2 linked regions of the Caenorhabditis elegans genome follow. The protein of the gene in region 2 interacts with the protein of the main gene of each other region in a pairwise test. Each region holds a gene or a part of one and is shown on either strand. Other genes may lie near its edges.

Region 1 (8,214 bases), on a different chromosome or scaffold from region 2:
TTCCACTCGCAGTTTTCACTTCCATTTTGACGTGTTTGCTCCATACTCCGCCTTTACACTTAGATATCTCGGTATTTCTATATTTCATCTGCATTATAATAATTATTATTATAAGTTCTATTATCCAATGCTTTTTCTAATTCTCACAGTTTTTGTTGGTGCCCAGGCGGCCAAGAAACCAATGTTCGACGTTCGACAATTCAATTTGGACGAGGTCGGTGCATATCGGACTGATCAGGTTCGCTACCACACAAAACTAAATAAACAAAATGTTTCTTTATTGTTTTAACAATTTTATTTTTCAGATTACACTGGAACCCGCTCCAAAACCTCCATTTCTTATCAATGCCACCTCAGAAGCCATTGAACAGTTTATGGCAATATATCGGACTCCTGGAATTGCACAAATTCGAAAAGTATTTGTTCTATAAAAACGTTATGTATTGAAATTATTTTTAGATGACAGAATTAGATGTTCTAGTTGGAACTTTACGAACGGAAGTACAACAATCCTATAATGCATATAAAGCAGAATCAATTCTCTTGAAATTAGCTCAAGATGAACGGTTACAGGAAATTGCGGAAAAGGTATGTTTAATTAAAGTTTAAATGTTTTATATTTTTCTCATTGTATACATGTGCTCTGAAAGTATTCGAAATAGCTTATTTCCCACATTGAAAAAAACAAATTTTAATTGTTTTTCTTTTGATCAATTTTCAGAATTCCAGTTAATTCAACAGTTTTCCACAATAGCAAGGTTAAACAACTTAAGTGTTTTACTTATTTTGAATCTTCTAGATAAGTAAACATCTAGGTTTCTGTAATTTCTTTAAATCAAAAAAATAATTCCAGACATATTTCAGACGCATTACACAATCGTCCACTTGCAAGCTCTGAAAGATACAAAAATGGGAACAAATGAACGAAAAGCTCGAACTGAAATGATGTTCTCAGAGTTTAGTGATTTTGTGGTATCAGCTGTCAGTGATGAAATGAGCAATATATTGGATTTGGTGATGAGGCAAATGCTCCGAGCGATATTATTTACGGAAAAGCTCACAGTTTAATTGTTTCTTAAAGTGTATTTAACGTATTTTTGTTTATGGTGCTAAATTATAGATTGTATTTTGAATATATTGATTTAAAGATTAAAATAAAAGTTAATGTATTTGTAATCCAGAGAGCACATCAGTCAGGATAGGTGCAAGACATAGGTAAACAGATTATACCAATGTATTTGAACACACAACCGGACAAGAGACAGGACAGAACCAGAAACAGGTCCCCCGAATGTTCCGCGCATAAAACAGAAAATCTCCAGTTACCAGTTGTATTTATTTGTTTTTGTGTCGCTGTGCCGCCCGTTCAGAAAGAGCAGTAAAGTGAAGAGTCCTTGTTTAGATAATGAGAAGAACAACAAGTAGCTAATGGAACGGAGAATCAGTTATTAGCTAGTTTTGTTTATCCCGGAAAAAAGTGAACGAAAAAACGAGAATGTACAAATCAGATAAGTGAGGAAAAGTGTTTTCCGATCGAGTTTCGCCTTCAATGGAATTTTTATGCATTTTCATTTCTTTTTTCTATTGAGATACAATTAAATTTTAACTTTGTTGCCTTCTGAATAAATTTAGAACCTATTCGAACTTTCTTTTGACTAGTAAACCGTTTTTGAATGAGTTTTTGAACAGCTTACTGAAAACACGAGTCGTCTTTTGGAAAAATATAGCTTTAATAATCTAAAAATTATTAAAGTAACCTGAGTCTTCAGTGAGTCGCAAAGTTGGCAAAGTTATCAAATGCTGCATTTTCCAGAAACGGGTAACCAAGTTCTCGCACAGATCCGCCTAACTTACCATGAATTATCATTTCAATTCACCTCACACTCATAAAGTTCATGTGTTAAAATCCGAAAAGCACGATGTTCGGAAGCATCGCTTTCACTCTTCCGTATGTAAACTAACTCTCTCTCCCACAATTCGACCCCTCTTTCGACAAGTCAACCTAATACTTTCTGTTTTCTCTCAATTCTCTTTTCATTCAGTTCCGCAGTTGAGGAGGTCTCATCGAAACTGGGCGTGTCAGTTACCTTTTTCTCATTAATTCTGCGTCTCTTCAAACAGTTCCAGTGTCTCGCTGGCTGAGCGATTCCCGCGCTTTCGAAAGGGGTCCATTCGGGTATGTGTGTATATTCCCGATAGTATGCTATTATTACCTATAGAACTAGAGACTCAGAGAGTATAAGTTGAATTATTGAAACTCTATTGTTTTAGAAAATCTTTATCTAGTTCTAGAAGTATCTTACAGTATTTTTCAAACACTTTCAAACCCGTCTCATGAAACTGTCATGCTACAATTAAACTCGTACTTGAAAATTTTAATATTTTGAAACTTTTCATGTGACCAGTGTAGTTTATGAATTTTATTTTAAGCAACAACCTAGTTTTTCAAAGGTAAATTTGAAATTTTAACATTCTCTATTTGTAGAATACATTAGTTTTGGAATTGTTTCAGTTCTAGATTTTTTTGCATTTGGTACATTTTTGATCACTGTATCGAATATCATAATTTTCATTTCTTTTTTCTTTTGAATTTGTTATCATTTTATTAATTCTTCTCAAAATGTTCTTCAGTTAAATAAGACACTAGACACGATTCTATCAAGAATATATTTCAAAAGTGCTTTAGTGAACTCTTAGGCACCATCCATTCATTTGTTTATTTGTTTATGAAGATGATATTTGCTTCTTTTTCACAGCCATTTCCATTCATCTTTCTTCGTTTTTTTCTTGCCTCCGTCTTTTACAACTACCATTTATTATTTTCTCACTTTCATCCCTCGTCATTCATTTTTGTCTGTTCCCATTTTTGTTGATAAGCATGGTTGTCCTGCAGGACGACTATCATCATCCTATTAAATTTTGGTTTAAGTGCTTGCAAATTATTGTCTAGATGTTACTCATTCATTAGAACAATTCATTTATTTCAAAACTTTAATTTTTCAAATGATGCGTTCTAAATATTAGTATTTTTTCATATATATTTCAGACCCATATACAGTAACTAGTGTGTTCAGTTGGATGGAGGCATGAGCCGATGTCTGTTCGGTGGCTGCTCTCACTTCTACTTGCCACGTGGACGCTTCTCTCGATAGCACGACTTGTATTCGATTTGATTGGAAATCTTTGGGTCGTTGTCGTTTTTGATTTTGTGCAGGTGAGATGTTTGACCTGTCTGCGGCTTTCTAGCAGGCATGTCATGTAAATACCGGAGATTAAGTGGAAGAAAAGGTGGGAATAAGGTGGATATAGGATTGAGCACGGAACCGGATACCGTGTTGATCATTTGAAATTTGTAGATACTCGTATAGTACCAATGATCATGGAAAACAGATCTTTGGCTAAGTGCTTTCAAAGATTGTACTTTGATATTAACTTTAACACTTATTTCAGCACGTTCGGAAACGTGTTATTCGAATGATTTTTTGAGTTTTTGATGAATAGTGAATTTAGAAAAATGGTTTTGAAACTCTTTTCTAAATCGCCGGTGATGAAATTGTTAAAAATTACTTATAGAGTGCTAGAATCCCCAAATATTATGATAAAACTTTGAAAACATTTTGAAAATTTTGTATTTTCAGTAAGAGAGGCTTATTATTCAGTTTTCGTCACTCATAATTTTTGATATCGGCCAAAAACCCAGTTTTTTCGTAAATTTGGCAATACAACAAAGCTTCGAATGAAATATTTAAATTTGATTTTTTTTTAACATTTGGACGTTTTTTGGGTTATTTGAAGTATATTTAGGCAAAACAGAAGCCACCAATGACGCTATTTCGCCCTCTAAAGAACTCCAACCCAGATTCAGTTAAAATTTTTGATTAGTTGATAAAGATCTGCTAGAGCTGTTTGATGTCAAAACCATTAAAGCGAAAACTTTAGATACTATAACCATAAGTTTTGATTTCATTGATTTACCAGTTGTTATAATCTAGTTGATGAGGAGAGCTCATCTCACTGACCGAAGCATTCCAATCCGATGGCATTACCTGTGAATACCTGAACCTGTTTGCCATGGGATCTGGTCATCTCTCCTCTTGCATTTTCTCGTCATTTTCGATGAATACGAATAAACATCCCACAAATGTTGTTTGTTCCCTGAGCAAATAGTCCATCGTTTTCCCTCAAGCTTGTGGCCTTAGATATTGAAGACATTTCCCTGCTCAATTGTTCTGATAAAATAACAACGGGCGGCACCGCGTTGGACAAGAAAACGGCTCTCTTTTTGTTTCAAGTATCTCCTCTCCCGCTTGCTGTCAGAACTTTTCGGAACGGAAACTGAACAAAAAATGAATGAAAGGATCATACAGGGCAGCTTCCAACTTGATGCGGATTGGCGGAATTGACAGGGATAAACTTTTTATTCGATTCGATAATGAGTATGACTAGTGGATCAGTTTGTAATTGGATTAGGTGTGTCATGGGATAATATATTTGAAGAATGCGTATGGTTCTGAAAGATATCCCGGAATTTGTATGCAAGTAGGGAAAATTATAAGTATACTATAAATAGTAAATTAAATGTGATTAAATTTTCCGATATTTTGGTAAAATTTGGTAAATCATCACCGGAAAAATTAAAAGATCAGTCACATTCAATCTGTTAAATTAAATCAAGCTTGTTCGTTTCAACTTATCATAAATCTCTATTTCTCCTTTCTCAATCCTCTGCCCCCCCAAACCAAAACCGTTATCTCGATTTGCGCGGCATCGCGCGAACCGATAAACCGCTACCACTATACAACAATGTGACGCCTCTCAAAAGGAATTCATGAGATGGGAGTGAGAATGGTTATATCAAATGAATCATGATTATTAGAATTATTATTCGCATTCTTATACGGTAGTTTTCGAGAACAAGTAGAACGAGAGAAAGAGGATTAGAATGACCCTGAAAACGGAGGTGAAGGGCTAAGCTCTCTCCCGCTGTGACACAAAATTGGTAGAAAGAGAAGAAGAATGAAATGTTAATTCCCATTTGATTGCCCTTCTTCAAACTTTTGAAACTTTCAAATTAAAGTTTAGTCTTAAAGGGGTGAATTCGCGGGGGAGTAGTTTCAAAATAAAGCAATACTTTAATTTACTATTGGTATTGTACTTCATTGCTCCACTTCGAAAAATTATATCCAATTTCTACATATCATAACTTGAGCAATGGGGCACAGCACTGATAGAGAAAGTACAGTAGTTCGAGTGCACCAATTTCTATATCCAATTAAAGAAAAAATATGAATACATTAATATTCATAATAAAATATTTATTTCCAGTCTTATTATTAGTTCAAATCGCCCAACCTTGCCACTTTTGGCGCCATCATTCTGTACATAGCCATCTCAATAACCGTACCGCCCGTTATTTCTGACATCGTGATTAAATATAACATGAGTAGGTAGAGACACTCCTGCTTATTCTCTAGATAATTGCCAGTTTTTCGACGAAAAATTGTGTCTGACCTCGACTATCCTGTCTAATTATGGGCAGGGATCGGGAAAGAATGGTTTGCAAAGTTTACACAAAAATATTCATGTTTTTGAGGAAAAACTGGGATTAATGAGATTAAGATTTCCTAGTATTTCTAGAAGAACAGAAAATTTTCAGGGAAAATTGAAAGTGTGAATATCATAAATTGATAGGAAAGAACAAGTCGAATATTTTCAGATTGTCTTGCTGATCTCGGGTTTATTCGGTGCTACTCAAAAACGACGTCCACTTCTTTACACTCTCCTCTCATCAAATGCTCTTTCCGTTACAATCAATGTGCTCATTTTCCTATGGTATATCGGAGTCTTCGGAGAAATTTCAAGACCATATCTTTCGGCTGGACTACCGTACTCTTCTTCGTTTTTCTTAAGATTCACACCATATTGTGATGCCGAGTTTGATGTGATAAGGTGAGCGATTTCATTTATTCTAATTGGAAATATGAAATAATCAAATGATTTCCAGAAAGAAATGGGTTCAAAAACAGTGTCTCATTCCATTCTACTCAGTCGAAGCATCTCAAGCAATTCTTCATATTATTTTTGCAATCGTAACTTCAATTTTCTCGATCTTAGTGATTGTGGAACTTCGAAAGAAACCAATAAGATCAAATTCCCAATCAATTAACCATTATGCTCAAATATGTGCATCAAAAGTTGCCAAAGCTCCAAGTTCCACGAATAATTCTAGCAGTGGATACCTCAATTCACAATATGACGACTTAGGATCTTCGAGAGAAAAAGTGAAAGTGACAGAGAAAAAAGAAGTCAAAGGACAATTCGAGAGAAATTCAAAGAAGAAGAAAAAGAATCCACGTCCAGAAATGCCAGCTCCAGATTGTGCTCCGTGTTCTTCAAATAGATCATCAGAAGAAGAAAGTAATTTGGAGGATGTGTACACACAGCCAATTAAAAAGAAAATTATGCCGTTGAGAGTAAGTTTGTTTGTTTTGAATTGGTTAAATGTTTCCATTTTCTATAATTTTATACATGATTTTCAAGTCGTTTTAGGTAGAAACTTTTGGCTACAACTTTTGAAAACTTGATGGTTAATTATTAAATTAGTACAAAATGGTTACTGTAGTCATTTAGTTGAATAAAATATTTCATTTCACAACTGCTATATTTTCTTTCAGAGACCTGACCTAGAAGAAGAAAATCGTGGAACTAATGTCACATCATTAGTCAGCTTCGACCCAAAAAGTGCGACTCTTTTGCGAATACGTCAGCATTTGGAGGCAGAGCCATCTGATAGAGATGTGAGTTTTCATGAATGATTTTCTATACAAAATATTTATATCAAGAGTTCATAGTTGAAATAATATCTATAATTTTCAGACGCCAGACTACGATATGTACGAACGACTCCGATCAAGATCTTCTGGACACTCTGAAGTTGCACCGGCTTCTACTATCCCTTTGAGTTCTGACTATAAATCAAGAAATGCTTCTCAAGATTCGGTTCCTTCAATGTTTGCTCCGATGCTCAACTCTCCAGCCCCATCTTCTACAACTTCTGGATCTTCTTCTAGAACATCTGGAGCTTCGTTGGCACACAAAACTCACATTGTTGGGAAAGGTGGAATTTCGTTATCAACTGTTGATCCATCCCCGATTCTTTCTCCAGGAATACGGTTATCGGAGCAACTAGGAGCCAAGAATCAGTCTTATAAAAGTGCATTCAGGGTCCAGAAAACTGAAAATGCTCGTGTTATAAGTCACTATCACGCTCCCAACGAAATTCCACTTTCCAGTGATCCATCGGTTGTTGAGAATGAATCTAACTATCCCGTGATGACTAGTGGTGGACTTCTTGTTTAATTTTGACTCAAATCTCATGTCTTGCCGTCTTTTTCTAGGCACTATATACGGGTTTATTCTTTCTTTTTTGTATTCTTTCTGCTTTTTTTAAAATAAATGTTTAAATAATTGAGCTCAATTTTTATTAGAACCAACAACAAGTGATAACAAATTACGATAGAGACCTACTAAAATTCGAAGAAAATTGCTGAAAACCGAACACGCTAGGAAAATTAAAACAATTACTTTGCCTTCTTGGCAAATTTATCATGACGAATCCACCATTCGTCCCAGTCGTTGTTCTTGTCATTTTTGAATGTTGGGAAGTGAACAAGTGGATCTGGATGAATATCTTGCAGACGTACACCAGCTCTCTCAACAGGCTTTCCAGGTTCATCTGTCCAGCTTTTGTACCATTGACGATAATCAAAGTTTCGGAATTCTACTCCAAATGTGATTGTTCCATGTTCTTTTGCTTTCAGAAGTTGTGCACGAAGTAGCGTGTACTGTTCACGACATAGTCCACTCTTCAGGATATCGATTGGTTGGTCGGTGCCATCTGCCAAAAATTGTTCAATGAGACCTGGGTTTCGGTAGTCGAAGTATAGATATTCGTCACGGCACACCTGTAATTCGTGAATTTGTTTGTTATATCTGCAAATGTTAGTTGCTGTTACAAAAACTTACTGGACAAGCATGATTTAGATTGAATCGGCCGTGTTTATCAATGCAGAAAAGTCTTGGAGGTGGTTGAAGTTTCGATTGACCCTGAATTTTCAATCAATTTATTTATTTTTCGAATTCAAATTACCTTGATGTTTCTCTTATACCATCTGTAAATCGGAAGTCCTTTGTAAGCCTCTGCGTATCCTGAAA
Region 2 (6,469 bases):
AAATTACAGTATCAAAAATGCAGAAAAAACTAATTTTTTTTGGTCGATTTCCAAAATTATCAGTGGCAAACACTGAGTAATTGCCACTTTTTGACAGTAAATGAAAAATTTTCAAAAAAATTTTTGAAACGTTTTATTATGACATTCAATCTTCCGGGCACCATATGAGTAGTTTTTAATACTTTCCCCACTGGCGCTACTCCACTTTTAACTTTCCTTTACAGAAAGAAATGACGGAGTTAATTTTAGAATAGTTCATAGTTTGGTGTTTTAAGGTAATTTTAAACTGTAGAAATTTTTTGGAGGATTTGGAATTTTCAATTTAAATTTTTTAGATCTTGCTGATCACATGCCAATTTAGAATCCATATACCCTACTTATATATAAACTTTATTTCAGTTTCTCTGAAAATGTTCTGATGCTTTTCTTCTGTTTTTTACTAAATTCAATGAGTACAGCAAACTAAAAAGATATACTTGAACAAATGTTATACTTTTTTATAGAAAAATCGTTGACTGTTTTCAAATGGCTAATAGTTCCTAGTTCAATAAAACAATCCAGCCAGTTCAAAACTTACCGAGCCCACCACACCCAAACTCCCTCTCAGCTATTCCTGATATGGAATGGCAATTCAATTCAAATCAGTACAAACATTTGAAAAGAGAAAAGTCTCGGAGAAGAGGGAGTGCATCATGAAACGCGTCACTAACAATCAGAGGGGACTAGCAGGTTTCCGGTCTTTTTCGAAGAAATCAAGCTTTATGATACGATAACTATAGTGAGCCCCTATTTTTTTCTCGGCTTTTGAAATACTATTTGAAAAATAAAATGGTATGACGTGCATAGATGGTCCTATCAGATTTTTTTTGTGGCGAAATAATTTAACATCTTACTATTAGTTCTGTTAATCGGAACGCATTTATTACAAGTTTTCCGACAAATTGAAAAGTATTTTTTTACCCATTATCTATTACCCGTTGCATAAATTATCAATCTTTAGTTTTGTTCGCTATTTTCAGTATTCTTCTTCTTTCTTTTTCTCCCCATTTTTTCGCGATAGATTTATGTGTTTCCTGATACATCACGTACATCCTGCTGCTTCGGCTCGCACAAAAAGAGAAGTTCGTCGCTTAAGAGTAAGTACATCATTCACTAAGGCATCACAACCATCTGGCGAGATTAAACATGTGTTTAACGAGAGGGGGACGGGATGGAACCCTAACTTTTGACGTGTGTGTGTGTCTACCGCCATTCGGGTGTTAGATTACCAAGCAATAATGCAAATGGGTTTGGCGGTTCAGATACTGATCATAAGTGAGTCACATTTTTGGTATTGCGGTAGTTTTTGAAGTTTAGAATTTTGAAGTTAAATTTTTCATAGTCCTCTTTATAGTCATTACCCTCAATTTAAAATTAAAACCCAATGACAATCACGAAAAAGTTTGCAATACCAGTGGTTTTATTAAACATAAATATTAGGGCTTTCATGCAGGCGACGTCTGCCTCGTGCCGCGAGCCGCGCCTCCTGCTTAGTGCTGCGCGGAACCCGAAAAGTGTCGGCCGCTTCCATGGAGGTCCTAATAGTTATCATCAAAAGCTTTTGGGGTCTCTTCTGAACAATCTCGCCATTTCTATGTTTTCGCCAAAAAATCCTAGTTCTATGTAATGTTTACACTGTATTCAAGTTCGTTTTTTTTCACTTTTCCAGAACATTCCTTGCTTTTCTTCTGTACACCCACTCTTCTATTTTTTTTCTTGTTATCACATTGTTCTGAACGACTGCATTGTGTGTTGTATGACCTTTTCCTTTTCGTGATCAATCCGTCCCTGGGGACAGTTCTATTAGGTCGGTGTGCCCACGAATGGTGTGCATTCTAGAGATAGTAGTGAAGAAAAACTGTTTTTTTTTTGCTTCAAGTTCGAATGCCGAAGTTGGTGTTCAAACATTGAATTGTCAATGGGGACACAAGTTGTTTTTTGTTTTTTTTTAATAGAAAGTTTTAGGTGCATTGTTTGGTTATTTTGGAAGAAAGCTGTATTTTTGAAAGCGTGCTCTTAATCTTTTTTTCCGATGCTCTTTCAATCAGTTTCCTTACTCATCATAGTAAAATCCGATATTTCTAACAATACGAGGGTAGCTATTTTTCACTATTTAAAGATTAAAGGGTCAAAGGACGATCCGTTCTCCAAGTGCTATGCACTGCGGATCTGGGACTCAGGTACACTGCCTGGTGGTGATCCCACTGGGTTGTAATTTAAGCCACGTCCGAGCCGGGGACTGTGGCCGATAATCCAGTCTTGGATTGCTCCACTTCCCAATAGGGGCTGGGTGAACCTAGGAAGTGAGGCCGGACTTGAACTCGTGACCTCCAGATTGCTAGCGGCCACCACTACCGACTGAGCTATTTGCCCCCTTATATATTTAATTACTCTTGATCAAAACACACCTAAAACTTCCAAGACGTCAGTACGTGCACCAGTGCCAGTCACGATTGTGTCCACTTTACATATATATCCAATTAACAGTGTCACTTTTCACATCTTTACGTCCATCTCGCTTTTTTTTCGCCTTCTTTTTTTCCCCTACTTTTCCGCAGCCCCCAAAAATTGAGAACATACCTTAACTAGGCCGATTATATCCCATCAGGTCTTTGATGTTATCATTTGTTTCTTTACCTCTGATATGTTATCTTTTTTTTCAAATTGTTCTCTTATAAACTTACAATTTTCAGAGACACAAATCACAATGTCTTCTGGAAATCGGCAGGCTCCAATGCCCCCACCAAAACCTCGAAATTTGGGGCGTGGCCAGTTTTATCAACAAGGAGGTACGTCATAATTATTTCTCACTTTTTTTTCCAAATTCAAAATTAATTTCTTCTTTTTTGCACCAGTCATTCAGTATTCGCTCGTCATCTACAAATAGAAAAGGGAAAAATTATGAATTTTCAATAGACGTACCTTTTTTTGAATACGTGTCTTTTTCGCAAAAAATGTTTTTTTTCTGTGATTTGTTTCTAATATTTTTTGTAAGAGCAAAGTTATTACCTACCATATGCCTAAAATAAATGTGGAATACTAGATTTCGAACATGGTGCATCGACTGGAAAATGTTTTTGGCGCTTGTTGCTTAAAAAACAGGTTACAAATATTTATTCACGTTTTTTTTGGAACATTTACTATGTAATACATAATTTCTTTTAACCGTTTGAACAATTTTTTTCCTGTTTTTTGCTCTAGTCATTTAGTATTCGTTCATCATGAATTATTTCCGAGCTAAAAGAGGCAAATTATGAATTTTTCAAAAACGTACTTTTTCGAATGCAGTGGTGTAGCCATTTTTGCACAATTATGTTTTTTACATGTTTCTATGAGTTCAGTTCAGCCACAGTTTATGGATACAGATATTCATAATATGAAAGATATTTTAAACACGTAACTACTTCTGGAGTTTTTTTTTTTTTATTTTTGTTTAGAATTGTGAATATGCTCCGAAATCGGTCTTTGCAGAATTTTCAAAGTAACATATTAAAAAATTATGAACATTATATTTTTTTCGGTAAAATGTTTGGTATTTTTTAACGGAATGTTTTAAAAAATTGCAAAATTTTTTCGCTATTTTTCTTTAAAAGTGGAGTAGCGCCAGTGGGAAAGTTGTTAAAAACCACTCCTTTGGTCCCAAAATGACCACATATCATAATGAAACTTATTTATTGTCAAAAAGTGACAATTACTCAGTTTTTGCCAATCATAATTTTGGAAGTCGACCAAAAAAATGTTTCTACATTTTTTATACAGTAATTATTTGGATTAAAACATTGTAGGGCCCGGAACATGTGAAATTGCTTTGGATTTCTTCAAAAGCTCTTATTTTTCAAAATTCTGAAAATTTGCCAAAGTTTAACCGGAAATTATGAAAAGCCTGAAATTTTTTGAATTGTATTATTAAGATATTTGGTCTTTTTAGATCATAATGAGTGTCTACTCCATGTTTAAATAATACCCGTTTTTGCCTATTCCCCAAAACTCCAGTGGCCATTAATAGTCTGCAAGAACTAATTTCGGAAAATTTAGATCTGAAAGTCATTGAAACAAAACAAACTCTATTAAAATTTTAGGAGCGCATTTCCGCTATTTAAAACTTTTCAATCGTCTCTGTGAAATAAATGTTTTCAAATTAGGTAAAACGTTAGGTAAGTCTTGAGTAATTCTTAGTTAGTGTTGAAAACGTTAGTGTAGAAAAAATTTTTTTTGGAGCAATTGAATTTAACTGCTAAATTGTGCGTTTGTATTCCAAAATTTTGAAGCGAATCTAACAGATATTTGATCTCTGGCTTTCAATTGCAAAGTAATTCTCCCTTTTTTGTCGCTCACCACAAAGCGTCAAGTTTTCTCAGTTTCAGTGTAACATGCCATACACACCAAAACGACAAGCTTTTCAAAATAAGAAAAACGGAAAGTGAGCAAGTGACGCGGCGCGCGGTCAGCGTTTTTTTTTGTAACCCATCTCAAATGCCAAGTCTCTGTGTTCGTGGACCTTTTCAAGCGAGACTATGTCTGTGTATGTGTGTGTGCCTTTTTCATTTTTGCTCCCGAAGAGCCCAGTACTACACATTCAGAACTTTTACACTTCTAGCTCGGCACCATGTGCTGATCTTGGTCCAACAAACCCCAACAAAAGTGCGTTCTGCGTTTTGCCCGCAACCCATTCCTGCTTATTGCATTTTGAGGAAGAGCATTCAGACAGCGCCCATGATGCAGAATATTTGCGCGTTTTTTTTGAGTGTGTAAACGGAGAGCCCATTCTGAAAATAATCATTGGTTGCTGAAGAGGGCAAAGAATCGTAGCGCTACCAGTGTTTACTTGAGCTTGATCTTGGAATTTTGATTGGAACCTTTTTGATTTGAAATATAATTTTTGAACAGTATACTGAAAAAGTATGAAGCTCAACTGAAGCATATTGAGCTGAAAAAAGTAAATCTGAAATGTTCAGCACTTTTTTTCTACTTCCGATGTCTTTAAAATTGCTTTAAAAATATACTTACAGTCAACCATTTTAGAAATGCAAAACAATTTTTTCACTGATTTGTTTGATAAAAAAAACCACGTGGGGTCAAAGTGTCCCATGTTGGTTTGATCTTCAAAAAATGCGGGAGAACTTTTCCCCTGATTTCGTATGGCTAACCATGTGTGCTGACGTCACATTTTTCTGAAAAAAAAATTCCCGCCGATTTTGTAGATCAAACTGTATTAGGACAGCCTGACACCATTTGAAAATGATGCAAAAGATTTTCAGATCGGCTTCAAAGAGCTTCAGTTTTTCTTCAGACTTCAGACTTTCAAAGATATAGGCATTCCCAGTGCTCCTCGAGAGCATGCCTCACTTCTCCGTGTGGTCGAACCGAACCACTTCAACCCTTAACAGGCACGAGGGAGTGGACGAAAAAAAAAAAACGAAAGAAAAATGTGCCAAAACTTTTTTTTAGTGAGGGATGGGGTGTTGCACTCTCGTTTTGCCGTCCTCTTTCTTCTCCCCTGCTCTCTACTCTTCGGTAGATGTCATCAATAATTCTGTCCAAACATGCTTTAAACTCATTGTTCTTCCTCTCCTGATCCCCTTGTTGCTGCCGCCACCAAAAAACGTCACGTTCCACTTCTTCTTCCTCTCCTGCTGCTACTTTTTGCAGTTTCTTTTCGCCTATACATTTTCATTTTTTTGTCGGCGGTTACTACCGCTCCAGCTCCTACTTCCATTTTTTTCATTTTCATTTTATCTCATTTATAATGCGGACATATCGCGTTTCCCCCCAAACAGACCCTTTTTTTTTGGTTTAAGGCCGTGAGAAATAGAAAAGAGAGAGGAGGTGGAGAAGTAAAAGTAAAGTAAATGAAATAGCAGAGGTTATTGCACTTTCATATTTTTTTTCATTTGCAGGGTATCTCACCCCACAAGACAGCGACACGGACAGTGGCATAAGTGCAGATTGTGATCAAGGTTCACCGAGAGCAGCTGCAGGGTTTGGTGGAACAGGGTTTAACGGTACTGTCAACGGACAGCAAGTGAACTCCCAGAGGAGGATACCAGGTGAGATAATGGTATTGGTATTTCTAATGTTGAGGCAAAAAGGAAGATTAAAGTTACATTGCTAGTGGAGTCAGAAAGTCTCATTTCGCTTTGATCTACAGAAAATGCGGAAGGTGAGACGCAGACATCTCATCTGATTTGGCATGGCCCAAGAGCGTGCTGACACATTTTGACACATACAAATTTTTAGGGAAAAAATCCCGCATTTTTTGTAGATCAAACTGTATTGGGACAGCCTTAACTTCCCGTGAGAGGGCAAGAGTTTCTATAAACGGTTCAATTATTTACAAAAAAAACTCAGAAGTGTTGCTAAAAATTTGGACGGCCCATGTCGATTTTTAACACGATACATGCGCAATATTTGCATAGTTTTTAGTGGATGA

What was found.
Region 1: the proteins of C09G1.4 (region 2) and gldi-7 interact in a two-hybrid assay, tested with the Caenorhabditis elegans proteins (one large-scale study listed by BioGRID).

The regions. Positions count from the first base shown.
Region 1 is NC_003280.10:8,526,055-8,534,268, reverse strand, and holds gldi-7 (Sodium/potassium-transporting ATPase subunit beta-1-interacting protein), read left to right. Parts: upstream 1-3,046; 5' UTR 3,047-3,094; coding exon 3,095-3,214; intron 3,215-5,716; coding exon 5,717-5,949; intron 5,950-6,004; coding exon 6,005-6,473; intron 6,474-6,674; coding exon 6,675-6,797; intron 6,798-6,876; coding exon 6,877-7,359; 3' UTR 7,360-7,470; downstream 7,471-8,214. Other genes in the region: W01C9.1 (DUF148 domain-containing protein), read left to right, coding at 128-238, 306-416, 460-588, 865-1,068; mrps-18B (28S ribosomal protein S18-2, mitochondrial), read right to left, coding at 7,581-7,964, 8,026-8,106, 8,150-8,208.
Region 2 is NC_003284.9:15,993,199-15,999,667, reverse strand, and holds the start of C09G1.4 (uncharacterized protein), read left to right. Parts: upstream 1-2,730; 5' UTR 2,731-2,746; coding exon 2,747-2,828; intron 2,829-5,229; exon of another isoform or gene 5,230-5,453; intron 5,454-5,936; coding exon 5,937-6,086; intron 6,087-6,469.